Linked DNA regions of Mus musculus: regions 1, 3, 4 and 5 are each reported to be linked to region 2. The links are microRNA targets in miRTarBase. Many come from high-throughput screens and were not tested one by one. Region 2 holds a microRNA gene; each other region holds the end of a gene's coding sequence.
Evidence for each region. The annotated mature microRNA mmu-miR-200b-3p reads UAAUACUGCCUGGUAAUGAUGA and lies in region 2 at 2,747-2,768, shown strand. An mRNA with a match to its seed (bases 2 to 7 or 8) in the 3' UTR can be bound and repressed. Matches are read on the target gene's strand: a 7mer-m8 pairs with bases 2 to 8, a 7mer-A1 pairs with bases 2 to 7 and ends in A, and an 8mer does both.

Region 1: the mRNA of Pkd1 is a reported target of mmu-miR-200b-3p. Seed matches in the 3' UTR shown: 8mer at 2,971-2,978, 7mer-m8 at 3,145-3,151 and 7mer-m8 at 3,435-3,441.
Region 3: the mRNA of Mapk14 is a reported target of mmu-miR-200b-3p. The part of its 3' UTR that is shown has no 7-base or 8-base seed match.
Region 4: miRTarBase lists Zeb1 as a target of mmu-miR-200b-3p. Seed matches in the 3' UTR shown: 8mer at 4,261-4,268, 7mer-m8 at 4,168-4,174, 7mer-m8 at 3,754-3,760, 8mer at 3,408-3,415 and 8mer at 3,338-3,345.
Region 5: the mRNA of Mtf2 is a reported target of mmu-miR-200b-3p. Seed matches in the 3' UTR shown: 7mer-m8 at 1,120-1,126 and 7mer-m8 at 2,260-2,266.

The regions. Positions count from the first base shown.
Region 1 is chr17:24,592,651-24,598,888 of GRCm38, forward strand. Pkd1 (polycystin 1, transient receptor poteintial channel interacting) reads left to right here. Exons shown (of 46, transcript NM_013630.2): 39 at 1-73; 40 at 555-696; 41 at 826-951; 42 at 1,149-1,323; 43 at 1,438-1,728; 44 at 1,811-1,945; 45 at 2,022-2,327; 46 at 2,422-3,864. The coding sequence ends at 2,889. Tsc2 (TSC complex subunit 2) reads right to left here. Exons shown (of 42, transcript NM_001286713.1): 37 at 5,534-5,720; 38 at 5,242-5,381; 39 at 4,555-4,633; 40 at 4,396-4,487; 41 at 4,205-4,303; 42 at 3,166-4,116. The coding sequence ends at 3,955. Among named protein-coding and RNA genes, the nearest start is that of Tsc2, 37 kb to the right of the region's middle.
Region 2 is chr4:156,052,123-156,058,452 of GRCm38, reverse strand. It overlaps Mir200b (microRNA 200b), which reads left to right and starts at 2,703; the gene lies at 2,703-2,772. Gm13648 (predicted gene 13648) reads left to right here. Exons shown (of 2, transcript NR_132444.1): 2 at 4,424-5,738. It overlaps Mir429 (microRNA 429), which reads left to right and starts at 4,466; the gene lies at 4,466-4,548. It overlaps Mir200a (microRNA 200a), which reads left to right and starts at 3,468; the gene lies at 3,468-3,557.
Region 3 is chr17:28,743,357-28,749,561 of GRCm38, forward strand. Mapk14 (mitogen-activated protein kinase 14) reads left to right here. Exons shown (of 12, transcript NM_011951.3): 11 at 1,627-1,800; 12 at 2,915-5,049. The coding sequence ends at 2,982. Among named protein-coding and RNA genes, the nearest start is that of Mapk13, 23 kb to the right of the region's middle.
Region 4 is chr18:5,771,307-5,777,636 of GRCm38, reverse strand. It overlaps Zeb1 (zinc finger E-box binding homeobox 1), which reads right to left. Exons shown (of 8, transcript NM_011546.3): 8 at 2,169-5,208. The coding sequence ends at 4,571. Among named protein-coding and RNA genes, the nearest start is that of Gm34740, 120 kb to the left of the region's middle.
Region 5 is chr5:108,106,552-108,110,551 of GRCm38, forward strand. It overlaps Mtf2 (metal response element binding transcription factor 2), which reads left to right. Exons shown (of 15, transcript NM_013827.3): 15 at 37-2,668. The coding sequence ends at 394. Among named protein-coding and RNA genes, the nearest start is that of Tmed5, 24 kb to the right of the region's middle.

The DNA.
Region 1 (6,238 bases), not on the chromosome of region 2:
CCCTATGTCCATGGGAACCAGTCTAGCCCTGAGCTGGGCCCTCCACGGCTACGGCAGGTGCGACTGCAGGAAGGTAAGCTGGGGATGGTGGTCCATGTTCTGTCACCCTGCTGGGGATGGTGGTCCATGCTCTGTCATCCTTCTGCTTCCTTAGCAACCTGCAGCTGAGCTATTTGAACTCTACTTAACTGTATAACTTTTGTCCTCGTTAGTTTTCTTCTGTTGCCTTTTTTAAAAAAAGATTTATTTATTATTACATGTAAGTACACTGCAGCTGTCTTTAGACACACCAGAAGAGCGCATCCAATCTCATTACTGATGGTTGTGAGCCACCACGTGGTTGCTGGGATCTAAACTCAGGACCTTCAGAAAAGCAGTCAGTGCTCTTAATCGCAGAGCCATCTCTCCAGCCCCTTCTTTTGCTTTTTTATAACATCATAATTGCCTCATGGTTGGCTAGGAGATTTGGGGAGGTCACAGCACAGGACCTCCGCTCAGTTGAAGAGCGAGTCACCCATTGGGTATGTCCTGAGTCCTGGCTCTCTGCTTTCTAGCATTCTGCCCAGACCCTTCTAGCTCGGAGCACATGTGTTCAGCGGCAGGAAGCTTGAGCACCAGTGACTATGGCATTGGCTGGCAGAGTGTGGTGCAAAATGGCTCTGAGACATGGGCCTACTCTGCACCGGACCTGCTGGGGTGAGTAGAACAAGAGCCTAAGGCCCCACCTGGGTGACGTTCTCCAGAGAATCTTCTGGCCCCCTTGGGGGCATGCCTATCAGATACTCTCAGGACTAGGGAGTTTCCAACCCTGCCCTGTCTCCACAGCGCCTGGTACTGGGGCTACTGTGCAGTGTATGACAGTGGGGGCTACATACAGGAGTTAGGACTGAGTCTGGAGGAGAGCCGTGCACGACTGGGCTTCCTGCAGCTGCACAACTGGCTTGACAGCAGGTGGGTGCTGAGTTGGGAAATGGGTAGGAAAGTAGCCACTCCCTTGGCAGGCTCTGAGCCTCACTTGTAGCCTGCTGCCCCCATGCCTAGCCCTGAATCCCCTGTGCCCCTCCCTCCCTCCCTCCGGTGTCTCCCGTGTCCTGTATCCTATGCTCCTGTGCACACGGCCCCTCATGCTGACAGCACCCTCCATGCAGGAGCCGTGCAGTGTTTGTAGAACTCACCCGCTACAGCCCTGCTGTGGGGCTCCATGCTGCTGTTACACTGCGCCTCGAGTTCCCTGTAGCCGGCCATGCACTGGCTGCCTTCAGTGTCCGCCCATTTGCGTTACGGCGACTCAGCACTGGCCTGTCTCTACCACTGCTCACCTCGGTATGCCTTTCTACTTGACATCTTTCCTCGGGATCCTGATCATGCCCACAGGAATCTGAACACTTGACAACACCCGTCACGTATCTCCTTTCAACCTCCTCCCCCCACCCCCAGGTGTGCTTGCTGCTGTTTGCCCTATACTTTTCCATGGCCGAGGTGCAGACCTGGCGCAAAGATGGGTGTGCGTGCACAGCAAGGCCTGACACCTGGGCACGGTGCCTACTGGTGATACTGACAGCAGCTACAGGGCTTGTACGCCTGGCCCAGCTGGGCATTGCTGATCGCCAGTGGACCCATTTTGTGCAGGACCATCCACGCCACTTCACTAGCTTCGACCAAGTGGCTCAGCTGGGCTCTGTGGCCCGTGGCCTGGCAGCTTCACTACTCTTCCTGCTTTTGGTCAAGGTGAGGTCAAAGGTGGGGTCTGGTGGTGACTAGGATCAGACTGCCATGGCTGGGGAGAAAGCTGACTGCCTCCTATCCACAGGCTGCCCAGCAGCTGCGGTTTGTGCGCCAGTGGTCTGTTTTTGGCAAGACATTGTGTCGGGCCTTGCCCGAGCTCATGGGAGCCACCTTGGGCCTGGTGCTGCTTGGTGTGGCCTATGCACAGATGGCCATCCTGGTAGGTCGCTGTTTGTGGTATCCCAGGGAAGGGCCTCCCCCAGGCTATGCCTTCACCTGCATCTCTTTTTCCATAGCTTATTTCCTCTGGTGCTGACACTCTCTACAACATGGCCCGTGCCTTCCTGGTGCTGTGCCCTGGGGCGAGGGTCCCCACTCTGTGCCCTTCAGAGTCCTGGTACCTGTCCCCTCTGCTGTGTGTGGGGCTCTGGGCTCTGCGAGTGTGGGGTGCCCTGAGGTTAGGGGCTATCCTCCTGCGTTGGCGGTACCACGCCTTGCGTGGCGAGCTCTACCGCCCAGCATGGGAACCCCAGGACTATGAGATGGTGGAGCTTTTCCTGCGTAGGCTTCGGCTCTGGATGGGCTTCAGCAAGGTCAAGGAGGTGGGTACGGCCCAGTGGGGGGGAGAGGGACACACCCTGGGTCTCGCGAGCCCAGGGTGCAGCCGGACTGACCGAGCCCCTGTGCCGCCCCCAGTTCCGCCACAAAGTCCGCTTTGAAGGAATGGATCCACTGCCTTCCCGCTCATCCAGGGGCTCCAAGTCATCCCCAGTTGTGCTCCCACCTAGCTCAGGCTCAGAAGCTTCACACCCATCCACCTCGTCCAGCCAACCAGACGGGCCGAGCGCCAGCTTAAGCCGCTCGACGCTGAAGCTGGAACCAGAGCCCTCTCGCCTCCATGCTGTGTTTGAAAGTCTGCTTGTCCAGTTTGACCGACTCAACCAGGCCACAGAGGACGTCTACCAGCTGGAGCAACAACTCCAGAGCCTTCAAGGCCATGGGCACAATGGACCTCCTTCCTCTCCCTCCCCTGGCTGCTTCCCAGGCTCTCAGCCAGCTTTGCCCAGCCGCCTTTCTCGGGCCAGTCAGGGGCTGGATCAGACTGTAGGCCCCAACAGGGTGTCCCTGTGGCCTAATAACAAGGTCCACCCCAGCAGCACTTAGGCCCTAGGGGTCTTGGCCATTCCCTTCCCTGGGAATGCCTGAGCTTCACACTGGCCTCTCAGAGCCAGGGTGGACACCACTCAGTATTACCTTCTGCTGCCCTCTAGGTTGGGCCAGGCAGAACGGCTGCATGCCAGTTCTTTTGGGTACAGGTATTGCTGCCTTCCTTACCTGTCCACATATGGGGCTTCTGCACTTTAAAAAGGCTGTGTGGCCAGCCAGGACCCAGGGTCCCCTCCCCACAGGAGGACACAGCAGTATTGGACCAAGTGAGTACCCAGCCTCCAAGATGCTAATTTATTCGCCCCCCCTCCCCCCAAGTCCTCAGGTTCAGCGGGCTGCGCCCAGCTCTACCCCTAGGTGGCCATCTCCTCTTGCTAAAAATCTAAGCTGGAGGGAGGGCTAAGCTACACTTCTCCTTTATCCGTCCCCTAAGTTATTACCTCTCTTGTTTCTGCAGCATACTTGCCCTCTAGCTACCATCTGCTTTCTATGTCCACCATCAATAATTTATATGGGGTTAAAATGTATATATTTTTGTATGTCAGTATTTTCTACTTGGGCTGAAAATGGGTCCATTGTTACCCAGGGCAGGGGTACAGGGGAAGCTGCAGCTATTACTGGATCCGAGTCTGGCCTCGGGCAGGTGCTGGACAGCAATTGGGGCCACCGTGGCCTTGTTTTCCTCCCTTGTCTGGGGCCAGGCAGCACGCAGATCTGCTGGTTTCAGATCTGAGCAAGGGCAGGACTACTGTGGGATGAAAGATGCCAAGAAGTTACTGGACAAGCCCACCAATGGGGCTTGCCCCCATGGCGGGTGGGGGAAAGAGAATGTATGTGATGGCACCTGCCTGCTTCTGTGGGCTCATCTGCAGCTCTAGCCTGGATTCTGCCCCAACCCCAAACAGACAAGACAAAGTCAAATAAAGAAGCTGTCTGACTGCTGTCTGTGCTGCTCTCTGAACTCCACGGGCCAGATGTGCGTGTGCAGTTTATTTCATGTAGGAGTACAGTCAGGATAGCTACATGGCTGGCCACAGGACTCTAGTCATGGATCTGCTGGCCTCACACAAACTCTGTGAAGTCATCCACGGAGGAAATGAGGCGCTTCCGCTGGCCTGTTTCATAGGTGGGTGTAGCCTCAGGGGCTTGAGCTGGGGCTTTGGTGTGGGCTGGAGGGTGCATCAGAGGCAAGCTTGGGTTGGAATAGTGCACCTCTTCACGGATCTAGAGAGAGAGAAAGCTCTGGCAGTGAGTCCGGAAGTTCTGTTCAACCAGACTCAGACATCGCATCTCTGAAGCCTGTCCTCCCTACCCTCTGGCGGAGACGCTTAATGTGGCGGAGTCTTGCGATCCACTTGGAGGGATAGATGTCAGTGGGGTTGGATCGGCTGTGGTGTACCTGTGAGGCCATCTGGAGGTGACAGAGCAGGATGGTGACAGTGAGCTCCATCACAACAGGGAGCGCCCACACGACTATCTCCCCAGGCTGCCGCCACCACTCACATTTGCATGCAGGGCCATCTGTCGGGCCACAAAGGACAGGTTGCGGTCAGACACAATCTTGGCCACACTGGTGTCCACGAGGCCTTCCATGTCTGTGGAGACACAATGCTCATACCCAGCTCAGGCCAAAACTGCCACCCTACCCAGCCTGGGCCTCACCTTTCCTGCACTGCAGGGTCAATAGGTTGCACTTGTAGTCCAGCGGTGTGATGATCACATGGACAAAGTTGAACTGGCCCTGCCCAAAGGAGAGGAAAGTCACCCGGCATGAGCATGTGCTGAAGGCCACGCTGCTTCCCCACTTGCCTTTGACATCTCTGGCTAAACATGCAGGTTTATGTGTTTAGCATAAAACATACACCCTGCCTTGCAGGCTTCCGACTGTGCCTAAGGACAGAGCTGAGGGTGTTCTCCCAGGACGATACTGCCCATGGGCCCTTACACTAGCTTCCCAGAGCCCTGCCTCATCTCCTCTCAGTTGTGATACGTGCAGACCCAAGTGTGCTACAATGTGTCCAACAAGGACCCTTAAAAGCCACTGTAAGCAGACAGTACACTCCTGTTGAGCACTGTACACCCACCAGGACATATTCACCTAGTTAGTCTTGAGGGCCACAGCTCATCCTATATATGAAGGAAGGTTTTGTGATCATGTCTCCTGTGTCTCTGATAGCCTGTCCCAGTGCATGGGGCTCCCAAAAGTGTACCCTCCCAAGACACTCAAGGCCACTTCAAAATACATCAGCAGGCATTTTTGTAGACCGCCTGGGCTGCTGCTGAGTCTGGTGATGGCAGTGGCAGAGCACAGCCATTGCCTAGGCAATCGCACATGGAAATCTCACTCACCTTAATGGTGCCCAGTTTGAAGTCCTCACCAGAATCATTGTAGATGATAGAAACAAAGTCATTGCCCAGGTGCCGTTTCTTGTCACAGCGGTGCTTGTCCACATCCTTGGTGGGCATCAGGGTGGCAATGTGGAAAACAGCTGTAGAGTGGGTGACACTGGACTGGGTGCCAGGACAGGACACCAAATGCTGGACTTTAGGGCCCAGGCTCAGACCTCTGTATCCCTCCAGATTTCCTGATTTTTTTCCAGAGGCAGGGCTTGGAAGCAGGCCTACCTAGAGGAGTACACACCTTGCATGATGTCATCATGCCAGCAGTAGGTGAACTGTCCATCCTCGCCACATACATCCAGTCCACCTAAGTACACCTTGTCTGGTTGGCAGTCCTTGAGCTCAATAAGCCGACCCAGGCCTGTCAGAAACTCCGTGTACCTGTAAGAGCCATGCTCATTTGACAGGATGGCCAGCTCACTGCTGCTCTGTGGGGAAATCCAGGGAATGAGAATAGTTAACAGTTCAGAGTCACCTGGCAGGCTCGGCACGGATGGAAAGCCATCCCCCACTCAATACTGTCATGCTTACAGCTGTCCAGTCTATAGACCTGGGTGCCACCTGGCCTCCCTCCCTTCTCTACCCGTAATACATTCAGCTAGCAAAATCAACATACCCAGAACCTTAGCACTGCTTCATATCCTTGCAACCAAACCCAATCCTATTCCTCTCGCTAGGATAGTGATCACCTAACTCCATCAAGGCACTACACAGCAGAGGGATACTTTTCAAAATGCCGGCATTAATAACGGTGGCTCAAAGTAGTCCAGGGTCCCTACCTCATAAGAAAAGTATGGCTCATGTTTATATATTGGGCTGTGAGATTGTCCATGATGACCCTCTGTCCTGCCACTTAGCTACACTCATTCAGTGGCCCATCCTGGGACCTCAGAACTCTGCTATTGCATGTATGCACCCTGCAGTTCTCACAGCTCTGCATATCAAC
Region 2 (6,330 bases):
AGAGTGCAGTGTTTTGATTAATATATGTGGTGACTACTTTAAGCCCTTTCTAGCTGAGCATCCGGAAAAGTAGTTCAACTTTGTTTTGTTTTTCTGGTAACCTAGATAAAAATGTTGGAGCAATCGGTAGATTGTTGAATCAAGCAAAATGTTTTGCATTTATGAAAATGCAAATGAGCCATAAAATATGGATATAGTCCATTGTTAATTTTCAGGCATCTTGGTAATTTGCAAATACTTTATTTGCAAAATCAATTTGCCAGGATGTTCTTAGTGTGTAAAATGGCCTAAGGAAGTTCCCCGGTCGCAGGAGGCTGGCACTCAGGGGTGCAGTGGACCTGGAGGGTGAGCTATACAACCGAAGGGCTAAGGGACAATGCTGACGGCTGTGTGGATGAAATGGCGGCTTTGCCTTGAAGACACGCAGTTCCAACAGCCACTAAGAGGTAGCCTGAGTGTAGACAAGACAAGTCTTTCCTGCCCCCACCCTCCCCCTCCCACAGCCGCTGGCATCGAAGTTAGGAGAGGTTGACTTTCAGAGCTTTGTTCTCTGGCCTCAGCATTGATTAAGGCCCCTTGAGCAAGTTAACCAGCAACTTCCCACACTGGGAACGCGTTCCTCTGCCACAAATTCCCAACCTTCCCTGGCCTCGCAGGCGAGGATCAAGGCACTCTGGAAAGGGGGAGGGTGCTTGCTGCAGAGGAGCCTTGGGGGCACTTGGCTTCTGGATCCATTCCTTAATTTTCCTAAACTAAGCCTAGTAGATGCTGATAATTAGCTGTGGGGACCATGACCTGAACCTCACTTTCAGATACAACTGACCAGATGGGCACCACACAGGCTCCAAATAGAACCCCTGTTTTTGCTTTTCATTTCTTGACCTATGGCTGTAATTCTGTCATGTTTTTGTCTCTCCCTTCCCCCTATGCTGGATAAAGCAGGGTCCCCCATACTCAACAGTGCTTGGACACCAAGACACCCAGTCCCAACTCATGACTTTTAGAATCTGTTCAGCCTTTAAATTTTGCTGGAGGACCTACAGAATCTGCATTTTGAAGGTTGTACACACACACACACACACACACTGCTGTCTGAGCACCTGCCCCCATATATCTGACCTTTTGGCTTATGCCCGGGCCAGCTATGCACTTGGCAGAGTCCCCTAGCCTCCCATGTTCCCTAAGAAGTGCTCACCCTGAGTAGTCAAGGATGCAGGGATCAGGCTCATCATTAGATACCATTTCGTCTTCCCTGTTTCTTTGGCACAACCAGAAGGGGGAAAGGCAACATCCTTGGTGCTTACCCTCACCCAGCTCCCACACTCTTTGTGGCTCTGAAGCCACAAGGATAACTGAAATTCTGCTTAGTCCACTTAGTTCTCAAATAGAATCCTTAGTTTGCCAAAGCTCAGAGAGAGAGAGAGAGAGAGAGAGAGAGAGAGAGAGAGAGAAAGTCCTTTTGAAGCACCGGTTTTATGAATCTGATAGGATAGAACTAAAAAAGTTCGGGAAAGGGGAAGTATATCTGACGGGTGTTTGAGAGCACTGGGAACCTTGTAGGCGATAGACGAAGAGTTAGGACAGTTTCTAAAACCTTAGGCTCCTATAGAGTGTCCATTCCCATCTGCTCAGCCTGTGCTCAGGTCAGGTCCTCAGAAATGTTGGCTTTCAGGAGAGAGGCTGGAGAACTAGCGGCTGCCTGGAGGCAGTGACACACGCCTTCGTTGTGATCCGAGGAAATCAGTACAGGGCTTGAGCCACCTGTATTGTGTCTGTGATAGAAAAGACCAGAAAAACGAGAAGAAATACTTCTGTAAAGACGGACTTGGGATGAGGAGAGGCACAGATTGAGTCTCTTTCAGTCCCAAGTATCCTTGGGACAGGTGCTTAGTTTCTTGGCTCTGTATGGGAGACTACAGGCTATGTCCTTAGCAACAAAAAGATCTTTCTATGGGTATGTGATTATTGTATTCATACTGGGGGCTGCTTTTCCCATACGCTTGAAGTGTTGGATCCCTGGTCCCTCATCCCAGTATCCTTCTTGGGCCCTGAAAAAGGCAAGAGGGGCTGGGCAGGAAAGTAGACTTGAACAGTATCCTGGAGACAGAGGCCCACTGAGTGAACCTCATCAACCTTAAGTACACTGTGTACCCTAATGGGACTGGACCTGTTGTCTAGGCTATTCTGTAGTGAATATACTCAGATGGAGGGCCTGTCTATGACCTGATCCTGACCTGGCCATTGGTCACATGGAAGTCTACATAGCCTGCCTCCCAGCTCTTTCGGGCTGTCAGCCTCTGGGAAGGACTATTTGACCCTTCAAAGTCCTCACCTGGGCCCCAAGCTAGTCCACTGCAGGTCAGGTTTGGCTGGGCAGGGGAACTTGTCTATGGCCATGGGTGCTAAGTCCTTCCTCTGGGCCTTATAGAGAGGCAAGAAAGAGGCTTCAGGGCCTATAAGACCCCCATCCTAATTATTTTCCATCTAATTTCCAAAAGAGAACTTGATCTTACTTCAAGCTGTTGACCTCTCCACTACCTATCTTTGGAGATGAGAATGCAGGGCTTTCTGCTGTTGTCCTGAAGGGGTGCCCTCCTTCTGCAATGCTCTGGGGATTAGGACACTTAGGCATCTGGGCCCTGCCCATGGAATCTAGTCATCTTCAACTCCCTGCTAGGCGGCCTCCATATCCAACTTGGGCAGCCGTGGCCATCTTACTGGGCAGCATTGGATAGTGTCTGATCTCTAATACTGCCTGGTAATGATGACGGCGGAGCCCTGCATGCAGCAATGGAGCCGCCTCCTGATCCCAGCCTCCAGGGGCCCCAGTTCCACACCTCACCTACCTTATCCAAGGTAGGGCTATGGGGCAAAGAGTTAGCCTTGGCGATATGGGTGGTGGGAGGCTTTAGGGAGAGTTCCCCCAAACCAGGCACCTCTGAGGGCCACTCTATATCCTGGGGTGAGAGGCTCCTCCCATTGCCCTGGGGGCGCCCCCTCCCAATGCCCTGGGAATTAGGACAGTCAAGTGCCTGGGTTCTGCATACAATACCCAGGCAGGTGCTGCCACCACACCTGGCAGGTGTACGCTGGGTGGAAGTGCAGCAAAGGCTCTAAAGGGCTAAGTCTCCGCCTAGGCTCAGAGGGCCTCATGCCAAAAACTGCCTCACCTACATCTAGGAGCTGTGTACTGATTGACCCCCTAGTGGGGCTACTCAAGCCTGGGATACCTTACCTTCCTGCATCAAGTGAGCACCGACCTATTGACCAACAGCACCTCCAACATGCACACTGAGCCAATGTGTCACTGTCCCCTTGCTTTGGACAAAGCAGACCGTATGAGTTAGGGTCAACATCTCTGCTGGCTTATTGCGATGCATATACGGTCTCTGGCTGTTCATGGCATCAGGTTTCCACTGGGCCTCCCTGAGGGTGGAAACCACCTGTGTCTTCCTGCCAGAGCATACCTGGGCCTCTGTGGGCATCTTACCGGACAGTGCTGGATTTCTTGGCTTGACTCTAACACTGTCTGGTAACGATGTTCAAAGGTGACCCACCATTCGCCGAAGACAGGCTGATGATACACACTTGTCCTCCTGGACTCCAGTTAGGCCGAGGCTGGGTGCTGGGTGCAGAGGGCCTGTCTCAGCTCTACAGATCAGCAGTCAGTGGGGGCTGGACTTTGACCCTTGTCTATTACTTCATGCTGGGACAAGGGATGGTTTCACCATGCCAGGGGTACTGGAGTAGAAGTGGATTGTCACTCATTCTCAGAGCAGCGATGCCCACCTTTGCCAACTCCTCTGCTGGATTTGGGGGTTCATTGATTCCTAGAGAGACTGTGAGGGTTAGTGAGGATGCTGAGCTAGGTAAGGAGACATGGATAGCAGTGTTAGCATAAGGACTGTCAGTGCCTATGGGACCAATGGGCAAGGGTGGGTTCGGGGACCTGAGCCTGGTACACAGAATTGTGACGTCATCAGCTGTTTCCTAATTAAGAACAAGGAATCTCTATTCCTTCCCAATGGCTTTCCAGAATAGGAACTTTGCCCCAAACCAGAATCCAGGATTACTTCTTATCTTTCTTTACTTGGAGCCAGAGTACAGGGTCAGGGAGCCCCACCCAGTATCAGCCTAGATGACTCTTCCGGGGGAAGGAGTCTGTTCCTGGCTTTAATGTTACTCATTAAGCTGACAGCCATTCAGAAAACCAAAGAGGTGCTATGACGAGCATTTGCCAAGTAAGAGTGAGCAGATGACTCTCCTGTTGCACCCACAGACTTCCACACTTGAGGAACAGGCAACCAAGCTGGGCCCTGGTAAGAAAGTCCTTAGAGTAGTCCCAGGTCCTAGAAGGGTGAACCCCAAGAATGGCCCTTGGACCAGAGCAGGCAGGAAGCCAACCCTGGCCTTCCCTCTACAGGTATCAAATCCAACTGCCCAGATGGGGAGGCCCTTGTACTGCCCTGCTGATGGATGTCTTACCAGACATGGTTAGATCTGGATGCATCTGTCTAATACTGTCTGGTAATGCCGTCCATCCACGGCCTTATCACCGCTGGAGACGACATCCTCACCACCTCGTGGACACTGGGTAGAGACAAGACCTTAATCCATCTGTTACAACTGTCCAGAGCTGGGTTCATCAAGCCCTCTATGCAAACAGACCACAGTTTAAATATACAGGCCCCGCTGAGCCTGACTGCCTTCCTCTGACCCTGTAGTAGCTTTCGGTTACAGCCACAGCAGACTGAGGCCTCCGTATCCATCCTTTTCAGGAATAGTCAGTGGGGCGGTCACAGTCCTCTTGCCCTCCATAGCCCACTGGGCTCCACACAGAGACTTCGATCTGTCGTCAGCTGTCACCTGCAGATTCTGTAGCCCCTGTGCTATCAACACTGGTAGGAGACAAGAGGAGATCTAAAACCTTGGTCCTTTGTCTCCTCTCCAAAATTCTCAGGTCATGGAACCAAGGAGAGTAAAAGCAAGTCTAACCACTGTGCCCAAACCCGGAGTGGAAAATAAGTATATGGGTTTCAGGGACAGGGGCACTGCCAAGGTGCCAGACCAGGTGATAGTGACTCATACCCAGGAATATGCACAAGGCTGCACAGCTCTGCCGTTGTCAGCCTGCTTATGAGCTCTTCCTATGCATCCCACCTCTGGCTCTTAGGATCTGAGAGTCATCTTTCAGTCTAACTCTGGATGCTGAATGGCCCGATCTTAAAGATCCCACCCCCACCCCATGTCCCTGAGAATTTTCAAAAGGCTGTTGCTAAAACGGTTGCTCTAGAATGACTCCCAATGCTTACATCATTTGCTATATGGGGAGTTTGAGTGTTGCTGTGATAAGAACTAGAAGTGAACCTCTTAGACCTCATCTGCAAGCTGCTGGCTTCAGTACCTAGACTTCTGCAAACCTCAAGTTGGCCAATACAGCCTGAGTCCAGCAGAGCCAAACCCTACCTCATCCACTGCCCTCTTGAAGGAACCCAACATGCCCTAACAGATTTCTTAGCCCTGGACAGGCCATTCCTCTAAAGAACCATTATAGGGACACTGGACTTCATCTTCCACAGAAACCTGCTGGGCTCCAAGTTCTATGTGGCTGAGGGACTTGTCCGCCCATCGTGCGCTCTATAATAGGTGGTCCCCTTTTTGTCATCTCTTCAAGCATTGTAAATAAAATGCAGGCAAAAAAAATCTTTGTAAGGCAATAAATTGTGTGATTTCTGAAATTTTATGTTGATCATCTCATTTTCACCGTACAAAACATTAACAAGCAGCCTTGCAAAGGATCAAGCCGAGGACACGGGGACTCCAGTGATCGGTGCTCCCGCCAGATAGAAGAGAGACATGGGGCTCATTGTACCCAGCCAGTCATTACACAAACCAGCTCTGGTATGCAATATGTACTCTAGAACCTACCAAGGACAGGTGAATCAGGAAAATGGGGGCTCCTGTCTCAGCCAAGAGTCAGCCTTGGAGTGAGAATTGGGTGTCTTGTGCAGGAACCAAGCCCAGGGTGTTATGAATGTGAAAGCAATCACTCCACCCCTGAGCTACAATCCCCAGCTCCTGGAGTGTGCATTGAAAATGTCATAGCCAGGATCAGAGACAGCTGGCTGCTGGTCCAAAGCCTCTCCAGGGTTGGGTGAGCTACCTGTCCAGCCTGGAGGCTTTCAGCCCCAATAACTCAGCCCAGGGTTTAGTAGAAGTGCTATGTGCCCCAGCCCACCTGCAGTCCCACTGTACTATTAGTCTAGAGCAGAGAGGTCTCTTGATCCAGCACTGGACTGACCACAGAGACCCCGACTCCCAGCACAGCAT
Region 3 (6,205 bases), not on the chromosome of region 2:
AGGAACATGCTGTTACCGATTGCTAGCCTAGCCGTCCCCAACAGGCTGCACACCAGCGATATAAATATTAACAGCCCTGTTGTCGGTCACAGGCTTCGCATCACTGCTAGCCTCAAGACACAGCTGAGAACTTCACATTGCCCTTTGATCTTAGAGTGTCTATTTATGTCTGCCTCCATACTTGAAAAGTCTTGTTCTTACTTCTGACCTTGTTCCTCATCTAAGTGCTTTGATCCTGAGGACGTGGACCTCTTTTTACCCCAGGGTAGCAGGCACCCACTCATTCATGTTCAGTATAAAGTCAGCGGATTTGTAGAACGTGAGGATTTGTATCCAGGAAGTCCACCAGTGCTTCAGTGTTGAAGACAGAGTCATGTGGCCTGTTGTGCCACCATGCTCACTGTCTGCAGTGCTAGGTTTAGATCCAAGGCCTTATGCACACTTTGCAAACTTTACTGGCTATATCCCAGCCCTCCTCCAGCACTCTAAAACTGGAGAGCCAGCGTATGCATGTTTGCTGTTTCCTCTGTACCCTCAAAGCCTGCGTTTCTGTGGATAACTGGTGTTCAGGCTACAGGGTACATAATCACTCAGAGGAGCAGAGGTATAGCATCTCTTCAGGAAGTTCTCCTCGACACCCATGGAGCCTTCCACGCTGAAGAAATCATCTGGAGCTGTAGAGATGGCCAACGGGGCCCTTGGTCTGAGTCCCTGCACCAACAGGATGCCTCACAACTGTCTTTAATTACACTTACAGAGGATCCAGCGCCCTCTGCTGGCTTTTAGATTTTCAGCCAGCAGGCATGCACTGTAGTGGAGACATACTTAAAACTTAAATCTAGCTGGGCGTGGTGGCGCACGCCTTTAGTCCCAGCACTCAGGAGGCAGAGGCAGGCGGATTTCTGAGTTCGAGGCCAGCCTGGTCTACAGAGTGAGTTCCAAGACAGCCAGGGCTACACAGGGAAACACTGTCTCGAAAAACAAACAGAAAAAAAAACCTTAAATCTAAAAACTTGTGGAGTTTATTTCTGTTTTACTTTTGGGAGAGAAAAAACCTGGAAGCCATTATTGAAAGTAACTGATAATCACCAGGAGACAAACCATCTCCCCATATTATTCACTTGGGGAGAAACGGGGAAGAGCTCAAGATGCCAACCACCTTAGCTCAGCATAAATGGAGCTCCTGGCTGTGGTGCCCCAGGTCACAGCATCACCTGTGGCATGGTCTCACCCAGTATGCCTAATTTCACTCTTACCAACAATTGAGGTGGTAAATGTAAAGACTAGAGAGAAATGGGAGAGAGTGCACACAGCATAAGGAGAGGGGAAGGAAGCCTCCATGGTGGTGTGCCACACCTGCAGTGTCCACAAATGAAAACCAAGGTGGATGGAGAAGGAGAGCTGGGGGGTAGGAGGGGGTGTTTGTTTATTATTCTGGGTTTCAAACCCAGAACCTCAGTAATGTTTTTAAAATGTGCCATAGGCATTCAATGCGTACATGGAGGGAAGGGGTTACATGCAGAAGCAGACACCTTAAAGGATGCTTTGTGTGGATGTGAAAGGTGCTTGGAACTTGCACAGTGGTGGCACTGATGTCATGTGTTTTCCTCTTTTCTGGTGTGACAGCTGTCGACCTACTGGAGAAGATGCTCGTTTTGGACTCAGATAAGAGGATCACAGCAGCCCAAGCTCTTGCGCATGCCTACTTTGCTCAGTACCACGACCCTGATGATGAGCCTGTTGCTGACCCTTATGACCAGTCCTTTGAAAGCAGGGACCTTCTCATAGATGAGTGGAAGAGTGAGTCCAGGGCAGGCTAGCGTGGGCTTTGAGCTTGCTTTCATTTTATTCATGTTTTGTTTGTTTTCTGAGCCAGGGTTTTTCTCTGTGTAGCCACTCAGAGGAACTCACTTTGTAGATCAGGCTAGCCTTAAACTCAGAGATCCATCTGTCTGTGCCTTCCGAGTGCTGAGATTAAAAGCATGTGCTACCAAGTCCCGTTTATGTAATATTTTTTAACAGTGCTGGAGATTGGACCTAGGACTCACACATATTTCCAACATACCTATGATCCCAGCACTTGGGAATCAGATTAAAAGTTTAAGGTTAAAAAAAAAAACAGACTGAAGCCGGGCATTGGTGACGCACGCCTTTAATTCCAGCACTGGGGAGGCAGAGGCAGGTAGATTTATGAGTTCGAGACCAGCCTGGTCTACAGAGTGAGTTCCAGGATAGCCAGGGCTACATAGAGAAACCCTGTCTCAAAACAAACAAACAAACAAAAAAAAACCAGGCTGTAAAGTTATTCACAGCTGTGTAGGTAGTTTGAGGCTATCCTGGGCTACATGAGAACCTGTCTGAATAAAACCCTCGTGGATGGTTGCCAGCAGCTTTCTGAGCTCACTGCCAGGGTCTCTGATGCGTATGTTCCCTGATGGGCTGCAGACACAGAGTGCAGAGCCTTCAAACTGACAGAGCTTTGAGGTGCTTGGCGGTTTTACGTTTACAGCATCTTTTCAGGATAAAGAGGGTCTGGCGTATTTCAGCACAGAACTAGGACAGGAGTTTTTTATAGCTTACTTTTGGCCTAGTTAGGGACTGCCAGGAATGGAGCCACATCTCCACCCCCAGTCATACTCCTTCATAAAGCACAAGGTCAGTTCTGCAGTTAGGACTGCCTCGTTGTGTGCAGAGTGCAGTGCTGCTCCAGGGAGCACTCAGAAGGAGCACCGTGCATGATGGAGTGGGGAGACAGTTCTGTCTGTGTCCTTGAACTGGAGCTGCTCTGCTGCAGGGCAGGGCAGGAGCAAGGCAGGTGATGTAGTTCATCAGACCACTGCCAGGAGGGAAGGGCTGAGTGTCTGCCTGCCGGAGTTGTACGCCTCACCCTTCCTTCCTTCTTTCCTTGCCCTAGGCCTGACCTATGATGAAGTCATCAGCTTTGTGCCACCACCCCTTGACCAAGAAGAAATGGAGTCCTGAGCACCTGGTTTCTGTTCTGTCTATCTCACTTCACTGTGAGGGGAAGACCTTCTCATGGGAACTCTCCAAATACCATTCAAGTGCCTCTTGTTGAAAGATTCCTTCATGGTGGAAGGGGGTGCATGTATGTGTTAGTGTTTGTGTGTGTGTGTGTGTCTGTCTGTTCGTCTGTCCACCTATCTTTGTGGAAGTCACTGTGATGGTAGTGACTTTATGAGTTGTGAATGGTCCTTGGCAGTCTGCCTGCTTTCTCAGAGTCTGGGCAGGCCGATGGGAACTGTCATCTCCTTAGGGATGTGTGTGTTCAGTGCAAAGTAAGAAATATGAAAATATCCCTGTTCTTAGTTACCTTGCCACTTTGGCTTCTCCTGTGGCCCTGCCTTTACCATATCAGTGACAGAGAGAGGCTGCTTCAGGTCTGAGGCTATCCCTCAGCCATGCATAAAGTCCAAGAGAACCAACTGGCTCCTGGTCTCTAGCCTGTGACCGGCTTGCTTAATGTCCTCAGAACCTGACAGGTATGTTCAAAACTGTCAGTCTGTTTGTGCCTTAAAAGGGTGAGAAGGGCGCGTAGATAGTTACAGAGTCTCAGCTGCTGACGTTCTGAGCCAGGCAAGTGCACGGGGCTGTTGGATGGCCAGTGGGGAGCTGGAAAAAACAAGGCAGCCTTTAGGAAGGCCATGGTGCATGTGTGTGCATGCGTGTATGTGCAGCCGCCCTCCCTCACTTCAGGAGCAAGCTGTTTGCTGTGCTTACCCTTCACCTCAGTGCAGAGGTCTCCAGTGCCGAGCACAGGCACCTGCCATCAGTAGTTCCTGTGTCATCTTCACATCTAGCAGAGCACGGATGTGTTTGCATGCTGTGCTCTTGGAGCTTGTCCTGTCTTCTGGAAGCCCTGGACAAGGCGTGTGAAGGCTTCCCAGAAGTTCCTGTCCACATTGCCTCCGCCCACCGACGCCATGGGCACACTGCTCCCTCCTCCTCCTCCAGCTACTTTGTGTTGAACACAATTGATTCTCCAGGTGCTCATGGTGCAGGAAAACAGGACAGACAGAGAGCACCTGAACCCTTGCCATCTGATGTCACCAATTCAGGAAAACGAGTCCTCTCCTAGGACTATCCCCGGTTCTGGAAATCATGTTCTCCTCACTCATGGTGACAAGCTAAGAAAGCTGAACAAAGGGAGAGACGAGAGCGCCTGAAGCCAGGAGCTCCTTTACTATCTTTCTCAAAAGGGTTGTTAGACACAAACCAAGTCATCAAGGCCCCGCTCCTCTCCTCGGAAGGGTCCCCCACCCCCCGGCAGCTTGACACTGAATCCAGTGTCAATTTGGGGAGAAAGCAGTTTTGTCTTGGAATTTTGTATGTTGTAGGAATCCTTAGAGAGTGTGGTTCCTTCTGATGGGGAGAAAGGGCAAATTATTTTAATATTTTGTATTTTCACCTTTATAAACATGAATCCTCAGGGGTGAAGAACTGTTTGCATAATTTTCTGAATTTTGAGCACTTTGTGCTATATAAGGACCCATATTTAAGCTTTGTGTGCAGTAAGAAAGTGTAAAGCCAATTCCAGTGTTGGACGTGACAGGTCTTGTGTTTAGGTCAAGGTGTCTCCTCTCAGTGCAGGGACATGCCTGCTCTGTGGGGCAGGCGAGGACCCTGAATCATTTGGAGCCCAGAAGGAGGCAGACTGGCCAGGTCTCACCACCTCAGTGTGCAGTTCAACTCCATGCCATCCCATCAAGATGGGTTAGTAGCAGTGTCTGTTTTTGAATGCCAAGTGTGATTTCCAACAATTCTGCTCTGGTTATTTCATTGAAGACATCTTTGCACATGTGACCATGCTGTGTTAGGGGCTGTGTTCCAGGGACTGGACTCGAAGCTAGAACTGGCAGAAGAGTTCTGGCATCCACAGCGCAATGCTGCCACCACCCAGTTTCTTCATCAGAAGACAAGGGAACGAGAAAACTGCTGTTCGTTTGTATTTGTGAACTTGGCTGTAATCTGGTATGCCATAGGATGTCAGATAATACCACTGGTTAAAATAAAGCCTAGTTTTCAAATTCAGTTGGTTTCTCAGGTTTATTCTGTTCCTCTTCTTGGTTGTGGGACTTTTGTTGTCAGCTGTGACCTAGCACATGTCTGACAGACCCTTTCTAAAGCTGCTTAGGTGGACCTGAGGGGAAGGCAGGTCTTTGCAGTGAGTGAGTTACTGTGCAGAGAGAACCGCATGGGGAGAGTGGCCTAGTGTGCGTCCACACGCACTGTTCTTGTACAGTCTGAAATGAATGTTTTTCACATCTTCAAGTAATTGGTTTGATCAGAGAATATCCACAGAGTTTGTTACGTATCTTCTGTGGCTACTTTCCTGATACCATGACAATTGAAATCCGAGGGGCGAAGACTGCAGGGCTATCCAGGTAGCTGCTTAATGTTTAGCAAAAGTTGCTTTCTGACTAAATACTCTAAAACTTTATACACCATGTATTTTTATCTTTAAGTTGCCAAAGAGAAGGCTAGGTTGTGTGCCTGTGAGTGCAGGATGGGAGGACATCTGTTTGACTCTGCTGTCTTCATGACCCTAAAATTGTTCTTCAGAACTAGTGAGCTGTATCATGCATGAGAAGGCTGCAGGGCCTCACAGCAGGTTCTCAGGCTTTGATGACACGGTCTCCCAGCTAACCTGAGGACACTCACAGAGCTGAGCTTTTTGTCCTGAAGAGACACAAGTGTAGACGCCATTCTTTTCCTGAGCCCCCACAAAGGTGACAGAAAAGGTTTTCAGCTGTCGTGGAGGTGTAGGTAGCTCTAGAGTACAGGAGGGAAGAGGAAAGGGTAGGGCCCTTGTTAGCTACTGTTACCCCAGAATGGTCAACCAAAGTGTGTTCTTCATTTCCAGCTATGATCCCGGGAACAAAGTGATCCTGGGTTTCCATTTTCAAATGGAACATTTAGTGTCCTTCAGTATCCTTATTTGAATTTTGCAACATCACAGAGAACTTTTGTAGAAGCCAAAGGATAGGCTTGGGAGATGGTTGGGTCAACAAAGGGGCTTGCCTTGAAAGCCAGAAACACATGGTTCAATCCCCAAACCCTTGAACAGATACTTAGGTACGGCAACATGCAATCCTAAAGGTGGGGGTATAGCAACAGATAGACTCTCAGGCTCAATGGCTAGCCGGCATAGTCTACTTCAGGACACAGCCTCCTCAGAAGGTGGGGC
Region 4 (6,330 bases), not on the chromosome of region 2:
TGAAGGTTTTACTGATTTATTTATTGATTGTTTCTCTTTCACTTCTGAGATAATCAGAATCTCCAAGCACTCTTAAGTACACTGTTAGTGGGAGTAACACTACTTGACTTTTGGGGATGCTCCATGAATCTTGAAGTTTTAGGGAAAAATCACACGTAATCATGATTCATTTTTCCTGTTGATAAAGTGTTCAAAGTAATGTCCTAATATTCAGTTGAAGGTCTTTCCATCTATTTTCTTGAGGAATTTAAGTCTGTAGCTCTTGTATTGAAATGCCCTTGTTGATCTGAGCTTCACAGGCAATTGGAGAAGGAGATGATTTGTGTAGAATTGGTACAACTTTTTCAAATGTATGAAACAAAAAAATCACCAGTAGCAACACCTGCTGTGAATCCTCTTTTGTAGGACGCTTTTGGCAATCAATTTAGTTTTGATTGCACTTAGGTTATTTCTGCATGAGCTTTGGTAATTATGGCCTTCCAAGCAATGTGGCACTTTTCCCCAAGCTGTCAGAAACATGGACATGCAGTTATTCCTTCTGTATCTTACTCTGTAGGGTCTGTAGATGGCTTTTCTTTGTTTCTGTCAAGATTGGCAATTTGTCTCTTCTATCTACCTCGGACTGTATGGCTAGAAATCTACCTTTTCAGAGGTTGACTTGGTTTACATGGCTTTTTTATGTCACGGTTTTCTCTTTTCCTTATTATCGGCTCTCTCCTGTTTTGTGTTTTACTTGTACAGTTTGAGGTGGAGGCTTGTATGAGTCCTTTGTTCTCTCCTGTTGTCAGCATTTAACACTGTGCCTTCTCTTGTACATATCACTTAACTTTATACTACAATTTTTGACATAAGATGCCATCATTGTGAGTCATATTTTTCATCAGGAACAACTTGATATGGCTTTGTAATAATTTAGATGATTTAAAAATGTATTTATTACTGATCTATGGGTGTTTTAAAACAATTTTATGATTAGTTTATGTGTGTGCATGAATGGCATGCAAATGCTGGTCTGAGGACAATATTAGAGTTGGTCTTCTCCTTCCACTGTGGGTTCTGGGATTCTGGAGTGCTAGGGATGGAACTCAGGTCGTCAGGCATTCTGGGTGTTTTTTTTTTAACCACTGAGTAGTTAGGCTGGTTTCCATCTCAAAAGTGAGAATTCTGTTATGCCCTATGTTTTTTCCCTGTAAATGACCCAGGAGTTATTGAGGTAAATAAATGTGTGTTCTGGGTGAATTTGTCTTTACTGGGCAGAGGTGTGTCTGTAGGTCTGAAGTTCTGTCAGAGGTAGAATTAATACATGGTTGCTTTAATATAGCTTCCCGGTGATCTCAGGTGGAATCCAGGATTAGATTTCTCTGTGAGTTTAACCCCTTTCCCTCCCTTAGGCTATCTTTCAAGTTTGCACTGGAAACTGAGAACAATCCCAAGTCTCCACCTTCCTCTGCCAGGATGCATGCTGCTCTCAGGGGTATTTTCTATTCCTCTTGCCTAGGGCTAGGCCAGGAGAATCCACCTCAACATGACATGTGATGCAGGCTGGACAGAGACATGTCCTTGGAGTCAGACAGGTCTGTGTGCAGAGCCCCATTCTACGTCTTCTTCATGTGGCTATGGCCATATGGCTTTCCCAGGTAGTTTTAAGGCTCTCTGAAACATAATCTTGATAAAAGCAGCAAGGCAGATGCATCTCAGGACACCAATGCCACTCTTTCCTGGTGTGAGGGGGCACTGGAAAGACCTGCTCCCTGATAATGTGGTTAGTTTCATTAGCCTTCTAGGCTCACGGATGAGGCACCATCTTCTCCAAGATTTACTTTCATGAGTAGTGGACATCCCCTAAGAATGGTACTTTAGCATCTCATAACCTTTACAGTACATTTTTTTTTTGGTATAGCTGGTGTTAGGGACAGGAAATTAGGCAGTCTGCTGACAGTGGACACAGGGGAAGTAAGGGCTGTGGTGTGGGAAGATGGGGAGCACACAAGATTGTAAGAATGTGGGGTCCTGGCATAGGATGTGTGTCCTAACTCTGTCAGAACCAGGTCTATCAAGTATTTTCGAGGTAGTCCCTCCCTGAGCTTTCAATGCCTGTACCCCGTACCATAAACTTGAGCACCCGAAAGACACCTAGAAATAAGCTCTCCACACATCACAACAACAGAGCAGCTTCCAAGGCAGTCATTTATTACATCTCCTATGGTAAGTGCCTATAAGACTCAAACAAGACCACCGGCACATTATGGGAATCATTTACCTTATGAACTTTCAGATTAGAGGCAAAACAGTGAGCACAGCTAAGCTCTGCAAATGTGCAGTTTCTGTGTTCATTCAATGAATGTCTGTTGAGAGGCAGTTCATGGGCAGGGGGCACATGAGGCATGACCATGACATGGGGAGGAACATCAGTGACAGTCCTTGAGCTGAATGAGAAGGGTTCAAAGAGTGGCAGAGTACAAGCAAAAAGCATCTTAAGCTTGCACAGCCCTGATGTTCCCTGAGGGGAAGGCTCTTGCTCTGTGGGTTTTGGAAGAAGGGACAACCTGTGCAGAGGGCTTCCTCAGGGAATTTCCCCCACAGGAAAAGGCATTCTTTGTGCTAAGTGTCTCAAATACTTTGTGTCAACAAACTCAGCTCAAGATGAATGAAGCTCTAGGATGTAATGCCCACTTCATAGACAATTTTCCAAAGGAAATTTGATGATCCAAAGAACGACAGCAGGTCAGGTTTGTTGATGCGTTTATTGTGAGCTGGGGAGTCTGGTAAAAAACTAGAAAATGACCATGGTGTAACAAGGAACTTAAAAGGAAGAGTCAGATTGGTAGCTTACATACATGGATACAGGAACAAATTGGCACATGTTAAACATTGTTCCCAACACTGTTTACAGAAGGCAATTCTAATTTGGCTTGCTAAGGGAATGAGTTATGGCTGGGCCAACTCTTAACAGAAGACTGCAGAGCGGCATGCTATGAGTCGCACACAGTGAGTGTCAAAGTGTAAGAGTTTCCTATTAAAAACTGGGGAAAGGGAGAATGACTTGATTGTAGTTGTAAAACTAATACCTTCCCATTTAAAGGCTGGTCTACAGTCGGAGGCAAGTATAAATGTTAACAGAACACTGTTAAATCAAATCTCAACGCACGGGAACCAACTGCATCTCTACTGTAAATCTTAGCAACTTTCCAAAATTTCATACTAAAATATATTATTGTATTAATACAAACTACAGTATTATACACTACACTGTGTAATAAATAAAGAAATATAAAAATAAGACACATAAATATAAAAGTTTTCTAAAACTAAAAGTACGTGTCAGTAAGAAGGGTATTAATACTGCCAGGCTTAAAGACATACAGTACAAAAATGTTGCACAGATCTATAAACTAAAAGAAATAAAATAATACTGGTAGGTAAAAATCAGCTGCTGTTGTTCATCACCTGGGTCCGTAATAACTAACATTTGGAAAACGGCTGTGAACCAAAAACCAATAGCGTATCCATGCCTGACACGCAAGTACATGGATTAAGTAGTTTGGAGAATTTCCCTTTTATTTCTGTAGAGACTTCTGAGAGTCAATCAACATGAAATGACTACTGAGGAACAAAAGTGTGAGATGCCCCAGTGCTTCAGCTTCTCTCACAGTCAGTGGTTTTGAGTTTTGTTTGGGAATTTTGACACAACAAACGAATCAACAACTGCTAGTTAATATAGGCCACACTGCGGGAAGGCTGTCAGAGCCTTGCAATACTGAGAATGGCACTTAGAGCACAGGTCTTGCTTAAGGCCAAAGGGACACAGCGCTTGCTTCCTATAGATCCTTCATGGTTGCTAACGTACGCAAACAATCACGAACACTGATTCTGCCGCCTCTGCCGGCCTTGCCACATCAACACTGGTCGTCCCTGGAGTCAGGACTCAACGACAACCTTTGAACTCCATTTAAAAATCACACGAGTAAGAAACTCCAGCTCTTCTCTGGCTGCTTCCTTAAGGCTAGCAATACATGTTAGATGGCAACACGGCATCTAACGTCAGAGGTCCTATCTCCTGACTGACTGGGTAGCAGCAGGTAGCCAGCACGGTTTGAACTGCTTTCTACTGCTCTGTGAAGGGAATTCTGTAGTGCAGAAGTTCTCACATTTTAAAAAACATAATAAAATACTGAAGCGGATTTAGCATATGTTTACCAATAAAAAAATTATAAAATTTCTCCCATTGTAGAGCTTAAGAATGAGCCAACGTAAGAGTGATAATACTGCTAGCCATGCCGGACGCCCATCCAGCCTCCTGTAACCTGCTGAGAAACCTTTGTTTTCTGAGTCATTAATGTTTTCTAAGCTGCTTCATGTTATAAATTTGTTCCTAACTTTGAAAACTGCATGAAAAATTACTAGGTTTGAGGTTCAGGCACACCCGGAATTTTTTTTTTTTCAGTTCTGACATTACACAGTAGTGAGCAGGAACCATAGCACAGGAGCCATGGAGCCATGTTTCCATGAAAAGCGTGGGTAATATAGAGCAAATTTCATTACCAAGTAGAATTTCCTTTTAGAAGAACTCCTAAGCTTCATTTGTCTTCTCTTCAGACAGCTGCTCACTCTCGCTTTCGCTCTCCATCTCGCTCTCGCTGGCCTTCTGCTCTAAGCTGCCTGCCTGCTGTGCAGCTCCAACCTCCACTGTACCATCAGTCTTGGCTGCTGCCTCATGCTCGGCTTCATCCGCTTCCACTTCCTCCTCTTCCTCCTCTTCTTCCTCCTCTTCCTCCTCCTCCTCCTCCTCCTCCTCCCCCTGTGGGTTCTCACATTCCTTTCCTTCCTGTAATTCTTCCATCTCTTTATCTTCCTCCTCCTCCTCCTTTTCACTGTCTTCATCTTCTTCCCTTGTCAGACTTTCTCTCTCGTCCGAGTCAGCCTGTGAGGGAGACGCCCGGGCACCAACATGCTCAGTCGCCAGGACTTCCGGCAGGACTTCGGGCCCAGCGTCTTCCTGCTCCATAGCATCTCTGTCTTCAGCTCCTCTCTTGCAGTAGGAGTAGCGGTGATTCATGTGTTGAGAGTAGGAGCCGGAGTGTGAGAAGCGCTTGCCACACTTGTCACATTGATAGGGCTTTTCCCCAGAGTGCAGCCGCATGTGCTCAATCAAATGATGCTTGTGTTTAAATGCCTTTCTACAGATTCCACACTCGTGAGGCCTCTTACCTGCAAGGTAAGAACGCAGCTATGAAACAGAACACTGGCAGAAATAAACAGAGTGCTTGGGAGAATGAAGGGACATTCAGATTGTGCAAGGGGAGGGTCACAGTTCCATGGTCAAGAAACTGGCAGGTTCCCAATTGTACGATAATACTATGGTTCATTTTTTTCTATGTGAAAATTCAAGGTTATACACTGCTTTGCAGATGAGGCCAGTGCTAATTATAAAAGGTGGAAATGCCAAAAATTCATACATCAGGACCACATGGCAGAACATTTATAAGTGAGGCTCCCATGAGCCAGGGTGACAATCTCAGGAAGAGGGGCTTCCACGGCATTTTGATGTCTCACAGCTCTTTCTACTTATGGGCAAATTTTCACAAATGTAGAGCTGATGTGGAAATTCTTTATAACATCTAAAATAGCTTTTGCCCCACAAGGCTGCAATCTTGCCCCTCATGAGTGGGTGTGGCCTGAGCAACAGTGGATACACAGAGGACAGCTGGCATAATCAGGACTGGCTATTACCAACTACAGTGCTATGAGCCAGTCAACACTTAAAAATCCAGAAATTACTTTTGAAAATTTTTTTACAGCTAGGATGTCATTTTAATTTTGATATTACCAGTATTTAACTCTTTTTAAAGAATTAGGAGATTTCCTAATTATCTCAGTGAATATAAGTAGAGGGCTGTGGTCCCAAGCTTTTATTAGAGAGGTACAGCTTTCAACCTCAGCAGCCACCCAAGTGTCCCGCTTCTCTGCGTGTCTTCTCACCAGGGGAATGAGTTACCATTGTTGGTGAGAGGCTGAGGGTCTGTGTGTTGCTACTTCAACTGTAGGTAAGTGGCTGGTAAGGGCCAGGGAAAAGATCCTGGGGATTAGTTACGATGAAACCAGTCTTTCATCTAGCCATCTTGTTGGAGAGAAACTGGTTGGCTATGCAGCTCTTATCAGCTAGGAGCCTGTTGCTAAACTATGGGAATTCTGGAGTTGTTTGAAAGCTGTTCAGGCTTGAGGTCAGTCATGGACAGGGGTTGGTACATACTTCTTATCTGGACTTCCCAGGCCATAAAGACACACAAATTAGAATAGACCAGCATGGCTATGGAGAGAGGGAATTGGGAG
Region 5 (4,000 bases), not on the chromosome of region 2:
AAGATCTTAGCAGATGTGTTCTTTTCCCTACCCTAGATTATCAGACTCTAGAAAAAGAACTCGCACAGGAAGATCATGGCCTGCTGCAATACCACATTTGCGGAGAAGAAGAGGTCGCCTTCCACGAAGAGCACTCCAGACTCAGAACTCAGAAGTTGTGAAAGATGATGAAGGCAAAGAAGATTATCAGTTTGAAGAACTTAACACAGAAATTCTGAATAACTTAGCAGATCAGGAGTTGCAGCTCAATCACCTGAAAAACTCCATCACTAGTTATTTTGGTGCCGCAGGTAGAATAGCATGTGGCGAAAAATACAGAGTTTTGGCTCGTCGGGTGACGCTTGATGGGAAGGTGCAGTATCTTGTGGAATGGGAAGGAGCGACTGCATCCTGACTGTAGGACTGAACGTAATGTTCACTGCACTCGTTTTCTGTTGGTACAGTTAAAAAAAAAAAAAACAAAAAACAGAGTGTGGGTTTTATTATCTTTCTTAGAAAAACAAACAAAGAGAAAACACAAAAATATTCACAAAAGGAGATGATACTGGCCTTAAAACATGTTCTTGTCAATGTTATGGATATTGTCATAAAAAAAGATATCTTTTAAAAATCAGAGGAGAGACTTAATTTTTTTAAATCTTAAGATTTGTAGACTGTTTCTAGGATAGGCTATTAAACATGATTCATACCCATGCATGGTGTTAGATACTTTTTATAATTATTCCATTGAGTCAATTTTTGTGATTAGTGGTTATCAGAGCAAACAGATCATGTAGATAGCACAAGTATTTGGAGAAACATTGTGTGTTTTGTTAACAAAATGTTGGAAAGATTTATTTCAATACCCTTTAGATTTCATAAAGTGCAGTGTATATAATGTCTACTGAAAGACTGTAAAATATTGAAATTTCTTTCAAGCAAAATGTAAAAAAATATATTGAGCCTGTAAATTGCTCTGTGACTAGACTTCATTGTCGTCTTAATATATTCTTTGCATGTACATGTATATACACACATGTGTATATATATGTGTGTGATTATGTGACCTATGCAATACAAATTATGGGAATGGGCAGCTTTGGAGTATATATCCCATAATTCTTATTTCAGGAATAGTTGCAGTATTTACACAGCAGCATTTCTTCTCAGGCGTTTATTGGGTGCTGTTGCTTGCTATGTATGAAGAGAAATGTGTCAAGTTTAGTGTGTACTGAAGAAGGGTGTGAACAACAGTGTACATGGGCTTTTAGAGGGCTTTTCAGTCCTTGTAACTCAGCTGTTGAATACCTAAAACAAATTCGAGTGATAACTACATTATTTCCTATTAGAAGTGACGTTTTCAAGTGATTGTGGCACATTATGATTGTAAATGTCTCAGTTTTAACAGCAAGTCTGTGGGAGCCCAGTGAAGACTCCTGAAATGTCTGTAGTAACTGTTAGTCATGTTTGAGTAAGCGTAGTATGAACAAAGTCTTTTATTGCACAGGGTTAACAAACAGTATGTTGCTAGCTGAGGCTAACTGCTGTTTTATTACAACATTACCTCTTGTTTTTATAAAATGTACCAAGATTTTAAATTGATATCTTTATTTTACGTGTTAAAAAAAAGTTTCTTTTATCACCAGTGTTAGAGTTGTCTTCTGTTTTTTTGGTTTGTTTTGGTTTGGTTTTTTTCTTGTTGTTTTCTTTCTTAGCCAAAGAGTAAACAGAAGAATATTATTTTGGTAGCTCTTCATTTTACTTTTATAATGATTGGTGGATTTTAGACTAAAAATTGGGGAAATTTCTGCCAAAATGAAAAAATATGTGACGTGTATTGATGACAGAATGCTAAAATTGTGGTTAGTGCTTATTTATTCCATTAATTGATTATTTGCCTGTTTTTAAAGAAACATGCTTTATTTCCTTAAGCATCTTCAAAAGATGACTTTTCTTGTCACATTGTAGCCAAAAGAAGCAGAGAATTTCTTGTCCTGCTTTTGGTTCCTGGTTAACCAGGTATAATGAGCTTTACAAAGTGCAAATTACAAACTGTCACTTCTGTTCACCTCCACCAAAACTTGATTTCCCCTAGCTATTAATTTAAAGTTGCCTTTCCTGCAGCTGCAATATTTTGAATAACACAGAGATTGTGTTAATTTTTGAATGTTTGTTTATATCTAGGGGTAATGGAAAATGTAATTCCCGTGTAACCTTATTCACTCCAGCTGTATCATATTTCATTTTTCCCAAAGTTCTTTAATTTTAACTGAACACCAGCAGTATTTTTAGTAATTCTTTAAGATACTTGGAAGACAATTTATCAAGCTGAACTGTCTCTAGACTTAATTATTGTGAATGTCTGTTTTCTTTTATCATGGTGGTTCACATGGCTCTGATGTTCAGTTTGTATTTTTGAAATTGCTTTACTTAGAATTAAAACAGACCAACATTAAATGTGTGTATTTTTAAAAGAGCTAATGAGTTTTTCTTCTGTATCTGCTTGAAAATACACACTGGTGCAGCAGTTAACTGCTTTTATTTAGCTAGGGAGGAGGAATTTTCCAATTCTTTTATATACTTGAATTAGTCTTGAAGAACTTTGCTTCCATTTCCTTTTGTCATAATGATAATAGTGTATGTTCACTGTGAGTGATCTTTTAAAAAAGGATTACATGCTTTGTATTTGAAAGACAGTGTTTATGTCCTTTCCTCTTCCAAAGACTGTAGAAAAATCAGGCTTCACAGTTGTTTCTTCTTCCTAGGTATTGGGGCACATGTAAACAGACTTCCCGTTTTTGCTATTTTTTTTTTTTGACTCTAATCTACAGAATAGAAAAGTTGTAAAATAATATACCTTCCTTCCTTTTTCATTTTAAGCATTTAAGAGAAAAAGAGAGCACAGAAGCTGTGAATCTTGGCAGCTGCTGGAATAGGTAAGCGTAGGTGAAAAGGACAAAGTCCTGTTGTGTTAGGTTCTGGCACGTTCAGCAAGCAGCTACACGGCAGGAGCGGAAATTTTTAGGAAAAGCGTCGTGGAAGTATTCCCAGGTTTTGTAAAAAGGTAGAAGGTAGAAGGAAAGGAAAAGGCTCAGAGAGACTTGGCAGCAGCTCCAAAAGAGACCATAGGAGACCTTATGTAATCGCTCATTTGTAACCACCCTGTTCTTTAGGATAAACCAGTTAAGTGAGTGTGTGTGCCTTACCAGAATAATTGTAAATCCTCAGTGTTTGACTTCATGCGCGCACGTGTGCGGGCTGTGTGTGTGTGTGTGTGTGTGAGAGAGAGAGAGAGAGAGAGACGTGCACCCACATTGTGATAAGAGTCAGGTCTTTCTGGAACGATAGCTATTGGAAATCCGGGCACGTTTGAGAGCTGAGACTGTCCCATCTTTATTTTTTGTTGAGTATTTGTTTTCTCTCATGGATATAGTTAGATTTCTGTTTATCAGTGTTGGGATGAAGTTCTATTTTTGGCTGATTTGTACTCCTGTTAGGTACTATTAAATTTTAGTTATTAAATTTTGAAAGAGGGTGTTTTAAGGCTAACAGATACCCATGTAATAATTAAAGATAGATTTCCCCCCACCCCCAAGGCCCTCTGTATGGAGAAATTTTCTTTTCTGAATTAAGAGTACAAAACTCCAGAAGTCCCATTCAGTTTCTCTTAAGGCATTTGATATGTCATAGTTTTTGATCATGGAAATGAAAACATGACATTTAAATGTAAAGTAAAAGCTTTGTCTGATCATGGGTATTTTTCTAATTGGTGTTAGTTAGGATTCATAGATAATTCTGATACATTCTGACATGTGAGAAACTTGCAGCATCTCTAAGCAAATAGATGGTATATATACAAATGTTTGTAAGTTATAATACCAGAGTAATAGCTACATGAAATATTAATTTACTTTATTTTTTAAATTAGAATAAAGTCAGTGTGTGGATGTATGCTAGTATTTCTTACCACTTGAGAGGCTGAGATAGGAAGATCAAGAGTTGGAGGCTAGCCTGGGCTATA